Linked DNA regions of Cricetulus griseus. The protein of the gene in region 1 interacts with the protein of each later gene in a pairwise test. Links are inferred from orthologs where the notes say so. Each region holds a gene or a part of one and is shown in the gene's direction. Other genes may lie near its edges.

Region 1 (4,119 bases):
GAAGAGCCCGATGGACTTCTCATAGGAAAGACGGAGGAGGGGTGAAGAGCTCTTAGGAGTCACAAAAGAGAGTAGCCAAGCTGGAGCCTGGGTGAGGCCAAATGGGACAGTGAAATGCTGGATAAAGCCTCCCAGTGAAGAAAGGAGTTAGCAGGGGTTATGGGAAGGTGAGCTCTGGCTGGAATGAAATGGCTTGCTGTTTGGTCAGCTGCTTGTTTACTGCTCATTCACTGACCCAACAGAGGCTCTGGACACTTGCAGAGACCCTTTCCTGAATGAGACAATAAGGCAAAGCTTGAGGACCTTTTCAATGTTTTGCAAGGCTTGACCTATGCTCCAACAAAACTTTCCAAAACAGGGCTCTTTTGTGCCATTTCTGAGACTTGACATGTGACCTAGCAAAGGCTGCAATGTCGACAGCCCACAATTCATTCATTTATTCAAAGAAAACTTTGTACTTATTGAGTTTTCTATATGCCAGCTGGCATCCTGAAACTAGGTGGGGGTACTGTCATAACCAGGACAGAGAGGACAGAGACGACTCCACCTTTACTGGACTTTCAAAGCACAATTCTAAGAGTGCCCCTAAGCATATGGAGACCACCTGAAAGAGGGTTGGTCAGTGAGGCTGAGGCTCCACAATAAGCTGGAGACATAGCCAGAGGGAAAAAGCAGGCAACAGACCATAGACGAACTGCAGGACAATTTAACAAATTTTTAGTGTCATAGTTCCGGTAGTTGTAATGCACCGGAGGACTTTAGAGGAATGAGGTGGTCTGACTGATTATGACTGCAGCTGCTTTTTGACATGAAATACCCAGTATGCTCAGATTGTGCAAATTCCCAAAGTTCTCAACTAGCCTCATCTTGTTTGATGACTTGTTATAATCTTTGTTAACACAGCTAGTGGGAGGCAACAGTCTGAGCCATGTTTAAGTGCAAACCTGACTTCCTACTTATAATGAGATGTCGGCCCTGAAGCGGGACTACAAGTTCCTGCACTATAGGATGTGGGGGTAAAGGGAATTATTTATACGCAGAGCACAGAGGCTGTGTGTGCCTAGCACGACTGTGACAGGCTTTCAGAAATGTTCACTTTCGTTAGTTACTCCAGAGGGTTCCTACGGGGAGCACGGGACACTCGTGAAACTGCCAACTACCTTCCTCTAACTCCCCTTTCCTTTTTTGTGAAGTGGAACAGAGCTCAGCGCCCACTCTGGCAGAGGCGCAAGGCCAAGCTCGGCTTCAATACGGCCATTGTCATCAAGCCGCACCTCCCCCGCTTGCCGCGCGTCCCCATGGCAACTCGGGGCTTCGCCTGCCCCCCACCCCCGCCCCCCGTCCTGCGGACCGGAAGCCGTGCGCGCCGGGGGCTTGTGGGAAGAGGCTGTAAGCGACGGTGCAGCGTCTGCCCGGGACGGCGAGGCTGCGGTGGGTCCCGAGACGGAGGTCAGCGGCGTGCGGGGGCAGGGTTCGAGGAGGGGGCGCGGGTCGGGGCGCGGCGGCCGAGGGCCCGGCGTCGTTCGGCGTCTCGGGCGTGCGCGGAGAAGGCCGCGGCGGAAGGGCGGCGACGGCGGCCTGCCGCGCTTCGGGAGTCCGCCGAGCCTCTCGCGCCCGCGTCCTCGCCGATATGTCCTCCCCTCCCCCACCGACCGGTTTTGTTCTATTTCGAGGCTCTGTCCGCTCGCGGAGCGTTCTGGGAGTCGCTTAAACCGAGGTGGGATCCGTGGTTCTCGCGCACGGCCTTCTGGGATTTGTAGTCCCGCCGGTCTAGGGCGGAAGTGCCCGTCCTGTGTGGAGACGGGTGTTCTGGGGCCTCTGCGGCCCTTCGCGGTGGATGCTGGGAAGAGGACATCAGCGGGGATTACTGGGGCTGGCTGGGCTCGGCGCTGTGAGGCGGGAGGTCGTTGAAGACCAGGATCCCGCCAAGTGCTTGACGGCGTTTCTCCTCGTCTCATGAGCCTGGTGCAGTACAAAATAGAAGAAAAAGCAATTTCTATTACGTAGAAATGCTTGAGCCGTTGATAGGGTCTGGTCCAGGAATAGGAATAAATAACCTGGATTTTGCTAGCAGGCCATCATCCCACTCAAGAATATTTATGGATCTATATGGTCTGTCTGTTTGATACAGTATTTTTTGATTGTCTTCCTCTTGACAGGTTTCAATAAGATTTTCTTAAGTTTCTGTGTTTTGTGTGTGTGTGTGTTTTTAATATTCTTGGCTCTGATAAATAAACAGTAGCTGTAAAGCGTATTGTTCCGTTCATTTGTTTTGTTTTGTTTTTCCAGACAGGGTTTCTCTGTGTAGTCCTGTCTGCCCTGGTACTGGCTCTGTAGACCAGGCTGGCTTCGAACTCAGAGATCCGCTTGCCTTTTGCCTTCCAAGTGCTGGGGTTAAAGGCATGTGCCATCACCGCCTAGCTAAGCTTATTATTCTTAATGTGCTGTGAACCATGGCACCAGTATGATTTTGCAAATACTAAAAGGATCAGAAAGTAGCTCACAGATTTCCCCAAAGGAAAAGCTAGGGGAAGCTACTTAAGGAAAAAGACTCTGGGCCATTATGAGAAGTTGTGAGTGCTTTTTCCTAATAGAATTTGCTGCAGTTGATTAACTGTCACAGTAAGTTTAAATGCATGTATGGTGGTGGATGCCTAAATAACATTTGCATGTTATGTGCAATAGTTTCTTCTCCAGCGTTATGTGAACTGTGTCAAAGTGAATCTGTGACAAGATCTAACAGCCCAGTTGTTTTTGCTATGTAGATGAGGATAGTCTTATTCTACCTAGGTACTGGGATTACAGGTTTAGGACACCATACCCAGCTACTAGTGAACATTTTTCACATTTATTTTGTTTAGGAAGTTCCTAAACACCTCAGTTTTGTTTTTTTAACTTCAAAGCAGTGCGCGCACGCGTGCGTGCGTGCGTGCGTGCGTGGTGTGTGTGTGTGTGTGTGTGTGTGTGTGTGTGTGTGTGTGTGTGTGTATGCCCGTGAGTGTGCATTGGCCTTGAATACAGTCTCTAACCCCAGGGGTGGGGAGGCAGTTTACCTGGTTCCTACTCCAGACTTGCAAAAACAAAATGAAAAGTTGGGCGGGCTAGGTAGCTCATTAGGTAGGGGGCTTGCTCCAAGCCTGACAACCTGTATTGGATCCCAGATTCCACAAAGCAGGAGGAGGGAACAAGTTTCTGCATCTTGTCCTCTGACTCCCACACCTGTGCGGAGATGTATAAACACAAAATAAATGTCAAAGTTTTGAGTCCCACAGTTCTGAATATTTAGTTTCTTATTTTATGTATGTGTATACCACGTGTCTTCCTGGTGCCTAAGGAGGTCAGAAGAGTGTTTGTAGTGCTGGGAATAAAACCTGGGTCCTCTGCAAGGACAGCGAGCATTCTTACTTGCAGAACCCAAGGGTTCAGAACATTTGGAGAGCACTTCGATAGGTTGATTCTTACATGGGTTCTTTAGGCTATTTAATTGCCTTTTGTTACTATATGTCACAGACTGACAGTCTTTCGCTGGAAAGGGCCAGGTTGTAAATAAATCCTAAGTTGTTTTAGATCTTAGCAGAAATTGTTGAACCCTATCAGTGATACCTTTATAGCCTGAACCATGATTAAATTTAATGATTTATAAACAACAAATTTAAAAAATATTATGGGGCTGGAGAGATGGCTCAGTAGTTAAGAGCACTGGCTGCTTTTCAAGAGGACCCAAGTTCAATTCTCAACACCCATATGGCCATTCCCAATGTCTGTAACTTTGTTCCAGGGGTACCAGCACCCTCACACAGACACCCTTATAGGCAAAAACCAATGCACATAAAATAAACCATTACAATTTTTAAAAATATTTTTACATTTTGTGTATGTGTGTAGGCATGCACGTGCAATGCCACACTTGTGGAGACCAGAGAACACCTTGCAGAAGTAAAGTTCTCTCCTATGTACATGCTGGTTATCAGACTCAAGTCATCAGGCTTGATCGAGGGTACCTTTGCCAGCTGAATGACTGTTGACCCTAGACTGATACATCATATTTTCCTATCATGAAATGTTTCTATGCTTTTTAGCCATTTAAATTTTTACACTATGGATAGTGTAATTGGCAGC
Region 2 (4,216 bases), on another chromosome or scaffold:
TTAACTTGGCCCTGACAATCATGAAATGACTCAAAGCACAGGTTTTGTGTGGTGTTATAAAGTCAATCTATGGCAGCAGAAGTTTAGAAAAATGAAAGAAAAAAAAAACTATTTTCTTTTCACATATACTTGTGTACCCTCAGGATCAACTTTCAGTGCTCTGTATGATATCGACCATTAAAAAGATAATATTGCCCTCAAAAAGGTAAATACTAAGAACTAAGGATGGGATGGTTGAATGACTGATGGCAGTGTTGATATATTACTAGTGCTATAATCTTTTGAAAACTGTTTTTAGCAATACAAAATAAAAGTGGATGTGGACTGGATGGCTCAGTAGATAGAAGAATGTACTATTTTTTGCAGAGGACCCCAGTTTGAGTCCCAGCGCCCACATCAAGCTCCAGGTGATATAATGCCCTCTTCTGCCTTCTGAGGGTCTTGCACTCATGTGCACAGGTATCACACACACACACACACACACACACACACACACACACACACAATTAAACTTAAAGAAATTAAAATAACAAAAAGGGAAACACAGGCCTTTCTTGTAACCTGATACTATCAGTAGGTGTATAAGAAACAAATGCATTAAAAAAATGTATGATTGGAATGCACTTGTTCATAATCCTATCCAGACCTGGGTAAAACCCAGATGTCTATTAAGAGGTAAATATACATAGCCTGCGGTGCACTTAGATAAATGGAATTACACATAACGTACGTGCAACCTGAATGAATTTCCCTGGTTATATATCCTGGGTGAAAGAAGCCACTCGATATTCGACAAAGAAGACAAAATGCACTTAGAAGATAGGCACCTAAAAGAAAGACCAAATCACCACACACACTCACACTCAAAGCTGTGGGAAAGAAAATGCAGCCTCAGCATTCCAGCCAGAAACAGAGTCCAAACCGGTTTATCTCACAGCATCCCCTCCCCTCTCCGTCTCGGAGATCGTCGGGACCCGGGCAGTCCCCCTCTTGGACCACCGGAACACGTCACCAGTGCAAGGACAGCCAAGGGGCTGCAGGGAGGTCCCGGGCCAGGCCGGGCCGGGCCGGGCCGTGCGAGCAGCGACAGGCACACAGAAATCCCGAAGGGAGCCCCGACCGGCGCCGGAAAACCCTTACCTCCAAGTGCCTCAGGAGCTGAGTGGCGTTGGCCTCCGACTTCACGGCCTTGTACTGGCTGATGCTCAGGAGCAAGGACTTCAAGCAGGCGGTGGAGTCCATCCCGAGGCGCCGTGCTGTCAGCGGCCACAACCAGCAGCCCCGCAGCCTTCAGCTGAGGCCGCGCTTTTTTTGATTTTTAGGCCCCGCCCCTCCTACCCTAGACGCTTCCGGTTCCGGTCGGCCTCCGGAAGTCTCCGGGAGGCCCGGGGGACTGAGGCCTGTGATTGACGGGGTGGGCGGAGGGTCGCGGCTCTGCGGGAGCGGGGAGGTGGCGGGGAACCCCGCAGCGGTCCCCTTCAGCCCAGGGCCCGCGAGGTTTCAGCTGGAGGTCCGCGAAGACGCGGGATCTCGCGAGACGCGCGACTGTGGCTCAACCGGTGGCGGGGCTGCGCGGAGCCCGGGGGTCGGTGCGCGGCGTGGCTCGGGTTCGGCGGGCGTCCTCGGCGTTGGCGCTCGCCGCGGGGCCTGGTGTTGGTGCGGGCGTCAGCCTCGGCTCCAGACGCGGGCGCTCCCCCTAGTCTAGCACGGTGAGGAACCCCGGGCTGTGTCTCTGTGACTTAGGCTGGGAAGCGGCGCCGGAGCGGCCTCGGGCCCTCCAGCATCGGTCCCCGGTATCCAGAGACGGCCGAACCTGTGGCAGTCGCTATTCCGTGGCAAGTTAGCCGGGGCCTTACCCTAGAATTTGTCACACCCCCTCCTGAGCTCAGTGTCCTCGTCTGCGGTGACGGGTGTAGGCGAAGGTGTCTGTTCCTGCCCCGCACGGTTGGTTAGTTTGTATACTAAAGTGGCTACAAACAAACAAAAAATGGCATTGTTGAGATTTTTTTTTTTTTTTTGTATGAGAGGTGGTGTGCATGGATGTGTTAAAGAAGTGAGCCCGCGACTGGGTTAGTTCAAAAGCTTTTGGGTTAACTAAGCTAGGTCGTACAAGAGAGTCCTTGCCCATTTGACTAAGACATTTGGGTTGAAATGTTTGTGAATTCGGGAAACTTTTTTTTGCGTTGCTGCTTTTGAAAGACTTGATTTATTCTTTTATTGAAACATAAAAGTAAATGTAACTGATGACCAAAAATGATCGTGCTGTTGTTATTCACGGAAGAATTTGTAGATAATGTGCCCATTGATGCATCTGTTCATTCATTCCGTTTTAAACAAATGCGTATGAGGGACTAGGGATTGCCACCCTGAACAAAGACGAGGAGGTGTTGGCTGCCGAGAAGCCACCATCTAATTAAATTAGGGGAATAGGGGAAGAGTCTAAATAGAAAAGTACTCTTGGAATTCACTACATAAGTAAGAAGTGCACCGTGAATAGAGAGAGTGGAGCCAGTTGACTTCTAAACTTGGTTTGCACTTTTTTCTCTTTGTGGCTGCTTTTTCACTGCTCCAGTCTTTTTCTAAAGTGATACCTGAGAGTGTCTTGTTTCACGTGATTGTTCAATAAACAGTTATTTGAGCTTCTGCTTTGGGATGGGCACTGCTCTGGTCACTAGAGGATCAGTCTATGAGCATCAGATTTAACATTCTGGTAATAAAAACGTAATACGATAAGAGAAAAAAATACTCTAGAATAATGATAATCAGGACAGGAAAAGAAGAGTCAGAATAGACCTCGCTTAAAACAACAAACAACAAGACAAAAAGACAACATTGGAGGAAATACTTTCAATGTTTGAGAAGTCAACCATACTTTGTAGGAGAAAATGCTGCCTATTAGTTGGAATGAGGTGGACAAAAGTCAAGAGGGAGTATGGCAGGGTGCCAGGAAGAGCCTGAGCTAGTAGTGGCCATACAGGAATCCTGAAAGGAGTAGTGATGGAAAAAAAAGCAGGTCATATAATGGTCTTGGAGACTATTGCCAAATCAGTTAATCGATGTGAAGAGCAAGTTGTTGACTAATAAAATTATGTCTTCTGTGGTAAGTACAGTCATTGGTAAATGGAGTTGTAAGAATATACTGTAAGACTTTTCACATATAATGACAAGTGTCGAGCATCATCCCTGTTTTGACAAATAGGAAAGGCCCCAAGCTGCCTACATCAAGTGCCATCTTTACAATCTAGAAGAAATTCCAAGTTTCTAGATTGTGCGATTAAGAAAGTATAGATAATCTTTTAGATTCAGTGAAATTTTATGTATTTTGTGAGTTGTGTACTTTTCTAATTAAGTGTATTCCTATGTATTATAATACTTATTACGTAACAAATTTTCTCGTGAATTTTTGTTACTCTAAAATAAAGGTGTACTGGGTTTTGGTGTATCTTAAGTCAGCTACTTAACCAAAATTTTGTTAAGTACAAAAGTTTAGTGTATCTCAGATTTCCTACATATATATAGTCTATTAAAATAATTTCTTCCTGTATACTGTCTCAGTTTATTGCATTAATATAATCTCTACAACATGGGACATGGTGACAGGAAAGATTTTTCAACACTATAATCCACTGTTTATAGTTGTTTTTGTTTAGGACATTGCTCTTTTATCTCCTTTGTTTTTTAAAACCCTGTTTAAAATCTCCAGACGTTCACATTTATACATTTGGTTCCCTTTTAAAGTAATACAGTGAATTATGCTGCTTTTTTGAGTAGTTGGCATCCATCAAAGGATTTTTTAAGGACTATTTAATCTTCATAACAGTGCAGTTATTGAGATGACCACCATTTTATAGATTACAAAGTATAACATCTGGTAATTTGTGAAGGTCACAAAAGCAGTAACAAAAAGACTTAATTTTACTCAGGATTCCATACCTTATGTTTTTAAGTTAGAATTTTCAATACTTTTCCTATTTTCTCATTTGGGATTTTGGTTAAATATTGGTTTTGTGTCAGGTTGACATAAAAACTAGTCAGGAAAAGTTAAAGTCTGGGCGAGCTGTGTTAAGTGCTACTGGGAAAAGTAGATTGTTATTACTACTATGTTATTTTAGATGAGTCCAGTTCACTCATTCTTTAAGGATTAGCATAAAATCTTCCCTCCTTGTAAGCTTTTATTACTGTCTGTGGTTTAAATTTTGTCTAGATAGTCTCTCCA
Region 3 (4,058 bases), on another chromosome or scaffold:
AAAGTAAAGACTGCACCAAAGTCTGACCTGTTAAGCTAACGAATTTCTACTAGGGTTACAAACAGAAGAATGGATCAGGGTTTCTTATGATGACTCAAAAGCAGGTCTGAGTGTCTCTTCTCACAGCTGCTTGTCAGTCCCTCCCCCAGCAGCTGGCTCCTTTTATAAAAGCTAAGCGGACTTCAAGAATCTCCCATGCTTCTGACTTTTGATTTTTAACAGGTCTGGCAGAAATGAAGATATTCTAGAGACTCCTATATCTCTCAATCTATCAGATTATGGAGATAATGAACCCCAGAGAAATAGGGATTTTCCCGGGAATCACTCGCTGGGCAAAGGAAAGGGCACCAGCCAGAAGGGAAACTTCTCTTCTGGAAAATAATTTCACACAGTTCTAAGAATTTGTCAGACCACTGAGCCTGAAGCCCAGCCAGTGATGGGTCAGTGGTGGGCGGAGCCACACCTTAACCCGGACTGCTTACATGGTGCTTAACCTTGTCCCTTTGTTTAACTTTGATCTCGCTTCAGGACTTGGGTGGTTCCTCCTGAATCTATCTGTCTCTCTTCCCAAAGTGGAAACATTGAATGAAAGTCCTTTTTCTTCTTTCTTTCTTACTTATTTTACCTGTATGGATATTTTGGCTGCATGTATGTATGTGCCCCACATGCATGCCCAGAAGTCCACGGGGATCCCTCTAACGCTCCATGCCTGACAACTTCACCTTCGCGGCAACCCAGCACTCACCCACACTTTTTTTTTTTTTTTTTTTTTTTGGAGCGTCTCACTGTGTACCCGACTGTCCTTTGATTGTGTAAACCAGACTACCTGCCTCTCCCTCTAGAAAGCTGGGATTAAAGCTGTTGGTTACTACGCTGAGCCATAAATGTAATTTTTTTTAAAACAAAACCCGGTGCTGTGCAGCACACGAGTAATCCCACTACTTAGAGATCACAAATCGAGTCAGAAGTTCAGTGTCATCCTCAGCAAAATAATGAGTTCCTGGCCAAACTGAGCTACCGGAAAAAAAAAAAAAAAAAAAAAAAAAAGTCTCAAAAATCAATTAATCAAAGTTTTAGGATGACGAATCAGCTTCTTTTGAAAACGCAGTCTCCCGGCCTGGGCGGTGGCAAGTTAGCACTTCCGGGAGGGAGGGCGGGGCCACGCAGCGGTCTCAGCTTGAGCTCCCCTCGGGGTGGGCGGGGCTGTCCCAGCTCTTCCGGAATTCGTAGACCTATAATAATCTTAGCCAATCAAGATGACGAAAAGTGACTCGCCCCGCCTCGCGCAGGCGCTTTTGCTCCGCGGAGATGGGCACTCCGAGAGTTCGCGGCGCCGGGTTTGCTTCCGGGCTGGTAGCGGCGTGACGTCAGGAGGAGGGCAGGTAGGTACGGGGTGCGGACCGGTCCGCAGCGGCGACGGGGGTGGCAGGACCTCAATCCCACCCCTGCGGCCTGGCGCGGGAGACGCGAGACCTGCGCCCCCCCCCCCGGGTTCCCAGGGCCCCGCAGCGGTTTCACGTCAAAGGCTCCCCTAGCCGTCTTCATGAGGAAGATGAGCCCTCCAAGCCCAAGTGTGGAACACGGTGCTTAGGAACTGTAGCTTGAGGGCCGGCGAGGTGGCCGAGCTGGCAGTGGCGCTTGCAGCCAAGCCTGACGACGTGGGTTCGACCCCCGAGCATAGTGTAAAGAGTCGATTCTTGTAGGACGTTCTCTGCCCTACACACACTTCGTGACACGCTTCCCAAACACACACACACACACACACGCGTAATTTTTAAGGGGCTGGAGAGGCTCCTTAACGGAGATCCACCTGCCTCTGCCTCCCGAGTGCTGGGATTAAAGGCGTGAGCCACCAATGCCCAGCCTGTGAGTTCGAGGCCAAACTGGTCTCCAGAGCGAGTGTCAGGACAGGCTCAAAGCTACACAGAGAAACGCTGCCTCGAACCCCCCCCCAAAAAAAAAAAGAAAAGAAAAAAGAGCCGTACAAGCTGTTAACCGTTAATTGCAGAGTTCGTTTCCCAGAGCTCACTCCTGCCTGTAGCTCCATAGAATCCAACCCTCTGGCCTCTTGAGCACTTGCACTCACTGGTGCATAAACTCACACCCATACACATAATTATTTTTAAAATTGTTAGTAGGTAGAAGAACTGAAATCGCCATTGTTCTTTGTCCCATGATCTTTCTTCTTAATGCTTAACACCTCTACGACTCCCAACCGCAGCCAGCCAGGAGTCAGGCAGCTAGGAACAGCAGAGGAGACTGAAGTGCTCAGGCTGTCATTTGCTCAGGCAGGTGAGGTCAGGAATGACCTCATCCCTGTGCATCCACCTGAGCAGCCTGTGTAACCTGGCTGTGGTACTCCCTATGGTGATTAACCATCTTAAAGCTTTCGAAGCTGAGACTAGAGGATCTGGAGTGCAGGGCCAGCCTGGACTACATAGAGGGGCGTGTCTCCAAAACAAACCTATGTTAAACATTCTAAAACAGACCCCAGGCCCACACCGATTCACAAGCTGGATGTCTATACTACAAGCAGCCCCCATACACTTAAAGCAAGCCCCAAAGTCATCCCTTCTGTTGGTACCCCCCATTTTCATTTTTTGTTTTGTTTTTGCATTTTGAGATAGGGTCTCACTGTGTAGTTCTGGCTGACCTGGACTTGCTGTGTAGAGCAGATTGGCCTGGAATTCAGTCTAACCTGGGTTCTGCCCCCTGAGTGCAAGACCAATCACACCCTACACCTTATTCCCTCCTGACAGGTGAAGAAGTGGGAGCTCCAGGAAAGTCAGAGACCAAAGCAGCTGTAACCCCAAACCTGGGTGGGCACTTAAGTACTTGGTCATCAAAAGTATTTGGGTGAGAGGGCAGTGAGATGGCTCAGTAGGTGAGGACACCTGCCACCAAGCCTGACAAACTGTTCCATCTCTGGACCCACATGTTGGAAGTAGGGAACTGACTCCTCCAAGTTGTCCTCTGACCTACGTACACTGTGACACATTCTTACCTGTACACATACACACACACACACACACACACACACACACACACACACACACACACACAGTTTTATGTTTTGTTTTGTTTTAACTTAGGGTGGAAAGAGGGCTTGGCCAGTAAAGAGACATACTGCTTTTCTTAAGGTTGAGTTCAGTTTCCAGAACCCATGTCAGGTGACTCACTGCTGCCTGTAACTCCAGGTCCAAGGAATCTGACATCTTCTCCTAGACTCTATGGGTGTGTTGCACATACACCACACACATACAAACACAAATTTTTTATTTCCTTTTTTTTTTTTTTTTTTTTTTTTTTTTTTTTGACAGGGTTTCTCTGGCTTTGCAGGCTGTCCTGGAACTAACTCTGTAGACCTGGCTGGTCTCAAACTCACAGAGATCCACCTGCCTCTGCCTCCTGAATGCTGGGGTTAAAGGCGTGTGCCTCCACCACCTAGCCCAAACACACACACACAATTTAAAAATAAATGTTTTGTTAAATGCTCAAGCCAGCCGGGTGTTGGTGGCATAGGCCTTTAATCCTAGCACTGCGGGGGAGAGGGGGCACCGAGGCAGGAGGATCTCTGTGAGTTCGAGGCCAGCCTGGATAGGCTCCAAAGCTACACAGGGAAACCCTGTCTCAAAAAAAAAAAAAAATGCTCAAGTGGTGACTCATACCTTTGATCCCAGCAGGAAGCAGAGGCAGGCATGAGTTTGAGACCAGTGTGGTCTACAAAGCAAGTTCCAGAACAGCCAGAGCTCTTACCCAGAGAAACCCTATCTTGAAAAAACAAAACAAGAAAGAAAACCTTTTTTATATTTTATGTATTTATTTTGTATGTATTCCGGTGTGTGGGTATATGTCTTGGTACACATGGAGATCAAGTCTGTTCTCTCCTTCCATAATGTTGGCCCCAGTTTTCAAGTTTTAAGTGGCTGGGGGACTACAGTTCAGCCTTTTGGTTAAGATAAAGTACAAATCATTTAGAATATCAGAAGACAGGTTACACTTACATGTAATAAAAACCTACCAATAAAAATAAAATTGGGGTCAGTATGGTGGCTCAG
Region 4 (4,112 bases), on another chromosome or scaffold:
CCTGAAGCACAGAGAAGGCTTGGGAGCCAGCTAACCTTGGACGGGAGCCCTAGAACAGAGATGCTTCCAGGGACAGCTGCTTCCAAGAGGACAGCTGCCTGGGAAGTCCCTTAAAGCCCAGCCTCTCCCCACTGGGTGGGTATGAGAGCTTTGTCCACAGAATCTATGAAAGACCTCATCTCCCAAGATAGTTCAGCTGGTAAACCCAGTTGACAAACTCTACCCGCACAACTGCTCAAGAGTTTCAGATGTGGAGAACTGCTGCTCACTGCTAGCTGCTGGCAGCCGAGGAGGGGGTTCTCAGGAATCAGAAAAAAAAACAAACAAACAAACAAAACAAAACAGAATAGACAGATCCGCTTCAGGACTGAATGATTCTATCATGGTTCAGACTCTTGGTATGTGGAAACAAAATTAACCTCATGTGCACATAAATTTAATAGCCCTTACTTGCTGTGTGTGGTGGTTCAGACCTTTAATCTCAGCAATCAGGAGGCAGAGGCTGCAGGATCTCTCGGTGAGCTCCAGGCCACCTGGGGACTTGAGACCCTACCCCCCCCAAACAAACAAATAAAAGCCATTAACTTTATTTTTTTAACAATTTAACTTTGTTTTTAAATGTGCGTTGGTGTGAAGGCATCAGATCCCCAGAACTGGAGTTACAGACAGTTGTGAGCTGCCATGTGGGTGCTGGGAATTGAACTCTGGTCCTCTGGAAGAGCAGCTAATGTTGTTAACCTCTGAGCCATCTCTCCAGCCCCTCACCTCACCCCATTAACTTTATTTTTAAAAAGCCTTTTTCCCAAAAGACTTTGGAGAGGGAAAAAAAAATGAGTAAGGGCCACCTTGTCTAACTGCAGCCTCCAAATTAAAAGTTGAGTGTGTCTCATAATCTCAGACAGAACCCTCCATCTCCATTTGCAGTAGTACCGCTATCTAAAGAGGGGGTGACCACATGGTCACCTCCTCTGAACGCCTGCTCGCCCACCCATGGGCCTATTTACTTAACGGACTATAACAAAGGCCATACTGGGTGTGCTCGCCCAACGCTGCCTCCCACCGGGATCCTCTGGAACTCGCACCTAGGTCTTCTCGGCCGGCCGCAAGGCCACGCTTACAGCGTTGCTTTGGCAACCGCAGAGGTGCGCTCGCTGTTACCTAGGAGACACACGGAGCGATGCTCCCTTCTCGTAGCTGAGCGCCCGGCTCTAATTGGGCAGAACGCCTCACCAGCCAATAGGAGCCAGGCGCGCTGCACACATGCGCAAGGAGGCTACGGTCCCGCAGCCCGGGTCCGCAGTGGGTGAGTCCTTCGGCTGGGGTGCCAAGGAAGAACGGGTCGCCAAGTCAGGAGAGGGAGCCCCGTCCACCACCACCACCCCCGGAACTCTGCGACACCGCGGGCTCCAAAGGAGAGGAACGGAACGAAGCCGCTGGCGCGCGAGGGGCCCGAGAAACGCGCGCTCCCCCTTGCTGAGGCTCACGGGAGATGTAGTCCGCGCGGAGGGGGCCGTGCCTGTGGGGCCGGTGCAGGATTGGCCAGGCCGGTAGTGAGTGGCGGTGGGGCGAGCGGTGTAGCCTCCCTTCCCGGAAGTGCCCCGAGCTCCTGGGGCGCCAGGAGGCGTCAGAGGTGAGCGAGCTGCTCGACTGGGCGGGCCCAGCTTCTCGTGGCTCCCCCCCCCCCCGAGCTCGAGGAGCGCCCCACTGCCCCCAGCCTTCGAACCCAGAACTCCGGGGGTCCCCTTCCTCCTGAAAGACCCTCCCTCTCCTTTGCTGTGTCAGAAACTGACACCCACCCCACCCCCAACTCTACAGGTGCCCCAGGAGAGCCGGTTTCAACCCAGAACCTCTTAAGGACTGGGACACAGGTTCCAGTTTACATGTCCACGTGATGCACGGCTGTCTGCTTTGGCTTCTGCTTGGGCGTTTCCTAGGCGTAGTGTGAGGCACCCACGGTTTTGTCGGTGAGCAGTGTCACCAAGCTCATATAGGCCCCTGGGAGTTGGCCCAGGCTTTCAGCACTGTCCCGGGTGATGTACCCAGACCCCAGAGCCAACTCTTCAGATAGACCAACACGATCTGCTTTCTGACTGAAGCCTCCAGGGCTCCAGGTCGCCCTGAAGGATGGTCCTACCTGTGCCCCCCTGATCCTTTGTCGGCTGGGGGAGCCACGGTAGTCCTCTGTTGGTAGTCCCAAAGGTTTGGGCCAGCCATGGAAGTTTCCTAGAAGGCCCTTGGACACCTTCCACCCAGGCATTTATCATCCATGCACCCTCCAGGTTGGGACCTGCACCTCCCGTTTCCTTCCTCGAAGCGCTCCTGGCCTTGGGGTTCTCTTTCCTGGCTTCTAGGAGGGGTCTGGTGTGTGCTTTTGGCCTTAGATGACACTCTGGTTCCTCCTTTCCTGTAGGTCCCTCCTGACAGCTCCAAAAAGACCCTTCAAAACAAGAATGCCAGCTCCTCTAGGTCCCCCACACCTCTCCCTCGGGGACTCCGAGACCACCATTGAGGAGCCTGAGGCTGCGCGACTCAGATTCCGGGGTTTCTGCTATGAGGAGGTAGAGGGGCCCCGAGAGGCCCTGTCCTGCCTTCGCGACTTGTGTCACCAATGGCTGCAACCTGAGTCATGCTCCAAAGAGCAGATGATAGAGTTGCTGGTTTTGGAGCAGTTCCTTGGCGTGTTGCCCCCTGAGATCCAGGCCTGGGTGCGAGGGCAGCGACCAGGAAGCCCTGAGGAGGCTGCAGCCCTGGTTGAGGGGCTGCAGCTTGATCCTGGGCAGCTGCTGGGCTGGGTGAGTGTAAATGGCATTAGCTGCTCAGGAGGACAGACTGAAGGTAGAGCCCCCCGTGACAGGCTTCTCTTCAGATCACAGCCCACATCCTGAAACCAAAGACGCTGCTTACAGTCCAGCGGACAAAGGAATCTTCCGGGAGCCGCAGCGTCTCAGTAGCAACGGAGTCCTCCGAGGCAGGCCCTTCGGAGGAAGTACCACAGGGTTCCAGCCTAGACAGATCTACCCAGATCCACTTGGTTGTGAAGGAGGAAGCCAGCGCCGATGGACAGGAGACGGGTAGGTGAGGGGTGACAACATCAGAATTTCAAATCTCTGTGTGTGGGTGTGGGGTGGGGGATGTGGTATCCTAGGAGGGGTTGTGTCGGGGGCTGGGACTCCTGAAATAAGTCTGCATGTCCCCAGCTGGGAGAGGGACCCTGGAGAGATTACAAAGGTGGATTCCTATGAAGCAACAAGACAAGACTGACCTCGCACCATGCCACATGGCAGAGGCAAGCCAAGGCCAATGCAGTCACCACAGCTTGATGCTCCTTCCCGTCTCCTTGTCTTTCTCAGTATCCCCAAGCCCCCTCCTTCCAGCCCAGGCCCCTGAGGGACATCTTGGACACCAGGAAGCAGCCTCCACATCCTCCCACCCAGGAAGGATCCAGGTAAGCAGCCTACAGCAGGAAAAGCAGGCCATGGGTGTATATGGGGTGTCTCTGTTGGTTGTATTCCCACCCTGTGGTTTGGTAGGGTCCTCTGCCAGTGACTCGTGTGTTTGTGCTTTTTGTTTTTACTATTCCTGAGTAGTAAATAACTTCCCTTCCAGCAGGTTCTAAGGGCTGAAGACTAGACTGGTAGGTCTCTCATTGGAAAAGATTTAGGCCTGGTCCAGAGTGGCTAGAGCTGGTGGCCATGGCTTCCTCACCCCAGAGAGGCTAGTTACTGGAAAGGCTTGTTATACCTTGAGGTCATGGGCCAGCTGTTATGTGTGCGGGCGGAGAGGAGACTGCCACGGCAGGGTTCCTGCATCCCTGAGAGCAAATCAAGACACTCTCCCTGAGTATGCCTCAAGTCCCTTCTACTGCCCTTGTCAAAGGACAGTGACCTGGAACCTTAGTTTAAAGCCCCTGCTACCTGAGCGTGCATAGTTGACGTGGAGGGGTAGGGATCCTATCCTCTTCAGGGTCTTTCTGTCCCTGGGCCCCTCCACTTGGGAGCCCCCTACCTCAATAGAGGGTCTAGTTAAGGTGTGCTTCAAGGTTAAGAAACCCCTCTAGGATGTCTCTCTGGTGCCCTCACTTCTGGTCAGCATCGCCTCTAGATTTAGCTGTC

What was found.
Region 2: the proteins of Znf24 (region 1) and Dzip3 interact in binary tests that used the Homo sapiens proteins (3 or more experiments, as listed by UniProt). The link is inferred for Cricetulus griseus from reciprocal best matches to the Homo sapiens genes ZNF24 and DZIP3.
Region 3: the proteins of Znf24 (region 1) and Ccdc130 interact in binary tests that used the Homo sapiens proteins (3 or more experiments, as listed by UniProt). The two-hybrid records come from large-scale screens. The link is inferred for Cricetulus griseus from reciprocal best matches to the Homo sapiens genes ZNF24 and YJU2B.
Region 4: the proteins of Znf24 (region 1) and Znf446 interact in binary tests that used the Homo sapiens proteins (3 or more experiments, as listed by UniProt). The link is inferred for Cricetulus griseus from reciprocal best matches to the Homo sapiens genes ZNF24 and ZNF446.

What each region holds. Positions count from the first base shown.
Region 1 is NC_048595.1:213,152,927-213,157,045, forward strand, and holds the start of Znf24 (zinc finger protein 24), read left to right. Parts: upstream 1-1,319; 5' UTR 1,320-1,449; intron 1,450-1,582; exon of another isoform or gene 1,583-1,717; intron 1,718-1,815; exon of another isoform or gene 1,816-1,965; intron 1,966-1,971; exon of another isoform or gene 1,972-2,112; intron 2,113-4,119. UniProt on the Homo sapiens protein: Transcription factor required for myelination of differentiated oligodendrocytes. Required for the conversion of oligodendrocytes from the premyelinating to the myelinating state.
Region 2 is NC_048597.1:42,076,719-42,080,934, forward strand, and holds the start of Dzip3 (E3 ubiquitin-protein ligase DZIP3), read left to right. Parts: upstream 1-1,416; 5' UTR 1,417-1,709; intron 1,710-4,216. Other genes in the region: protein CIP2A, read right to left, coding at 1,141-1,242. UniProt on the Homo sapiens protein: E3 Ubiquitin ligase proteins mediate ubiquitination and subsequent proteasomal degradation of target proteins.
Region 3 is NC_048596.1:160,144,661-160,148,718, forward strand, and holds the start of Ccdc130 (coiled-coil domain-containing protein 130), read left to right. Parts: upstream 1-1,258; 5' UTR 1,259-1,382; intron 1,383-4,058. UniProt on the Homo sapiens protein: May be involved in mRNA splicing.
Region 4 is NC_048602.1:25,556,328-25,560,439, forward strand, and holds the start of Znf446 (zinc finger protein 446), read left to right. Parts: upstream 1-1,312; 5' UTR 1,313-1,630; intron 1,631-1,815; exon of another isoform or gene 1,816-1,964; intron 1,965-1,971; exon of another isoform or gene 1,972-2,279; intron 2,280-2,410; 5' UTR 2,411-2,450; coding exon 2,451-2,792; intron 2,793-2,866; coding exon 2,867-3,071; intron 3,072-3,350; coding exon 3,351-3,445; intron 3,446-4,112. UniProt on the Homo sapiens protein: May be involved in transcriptional regulation.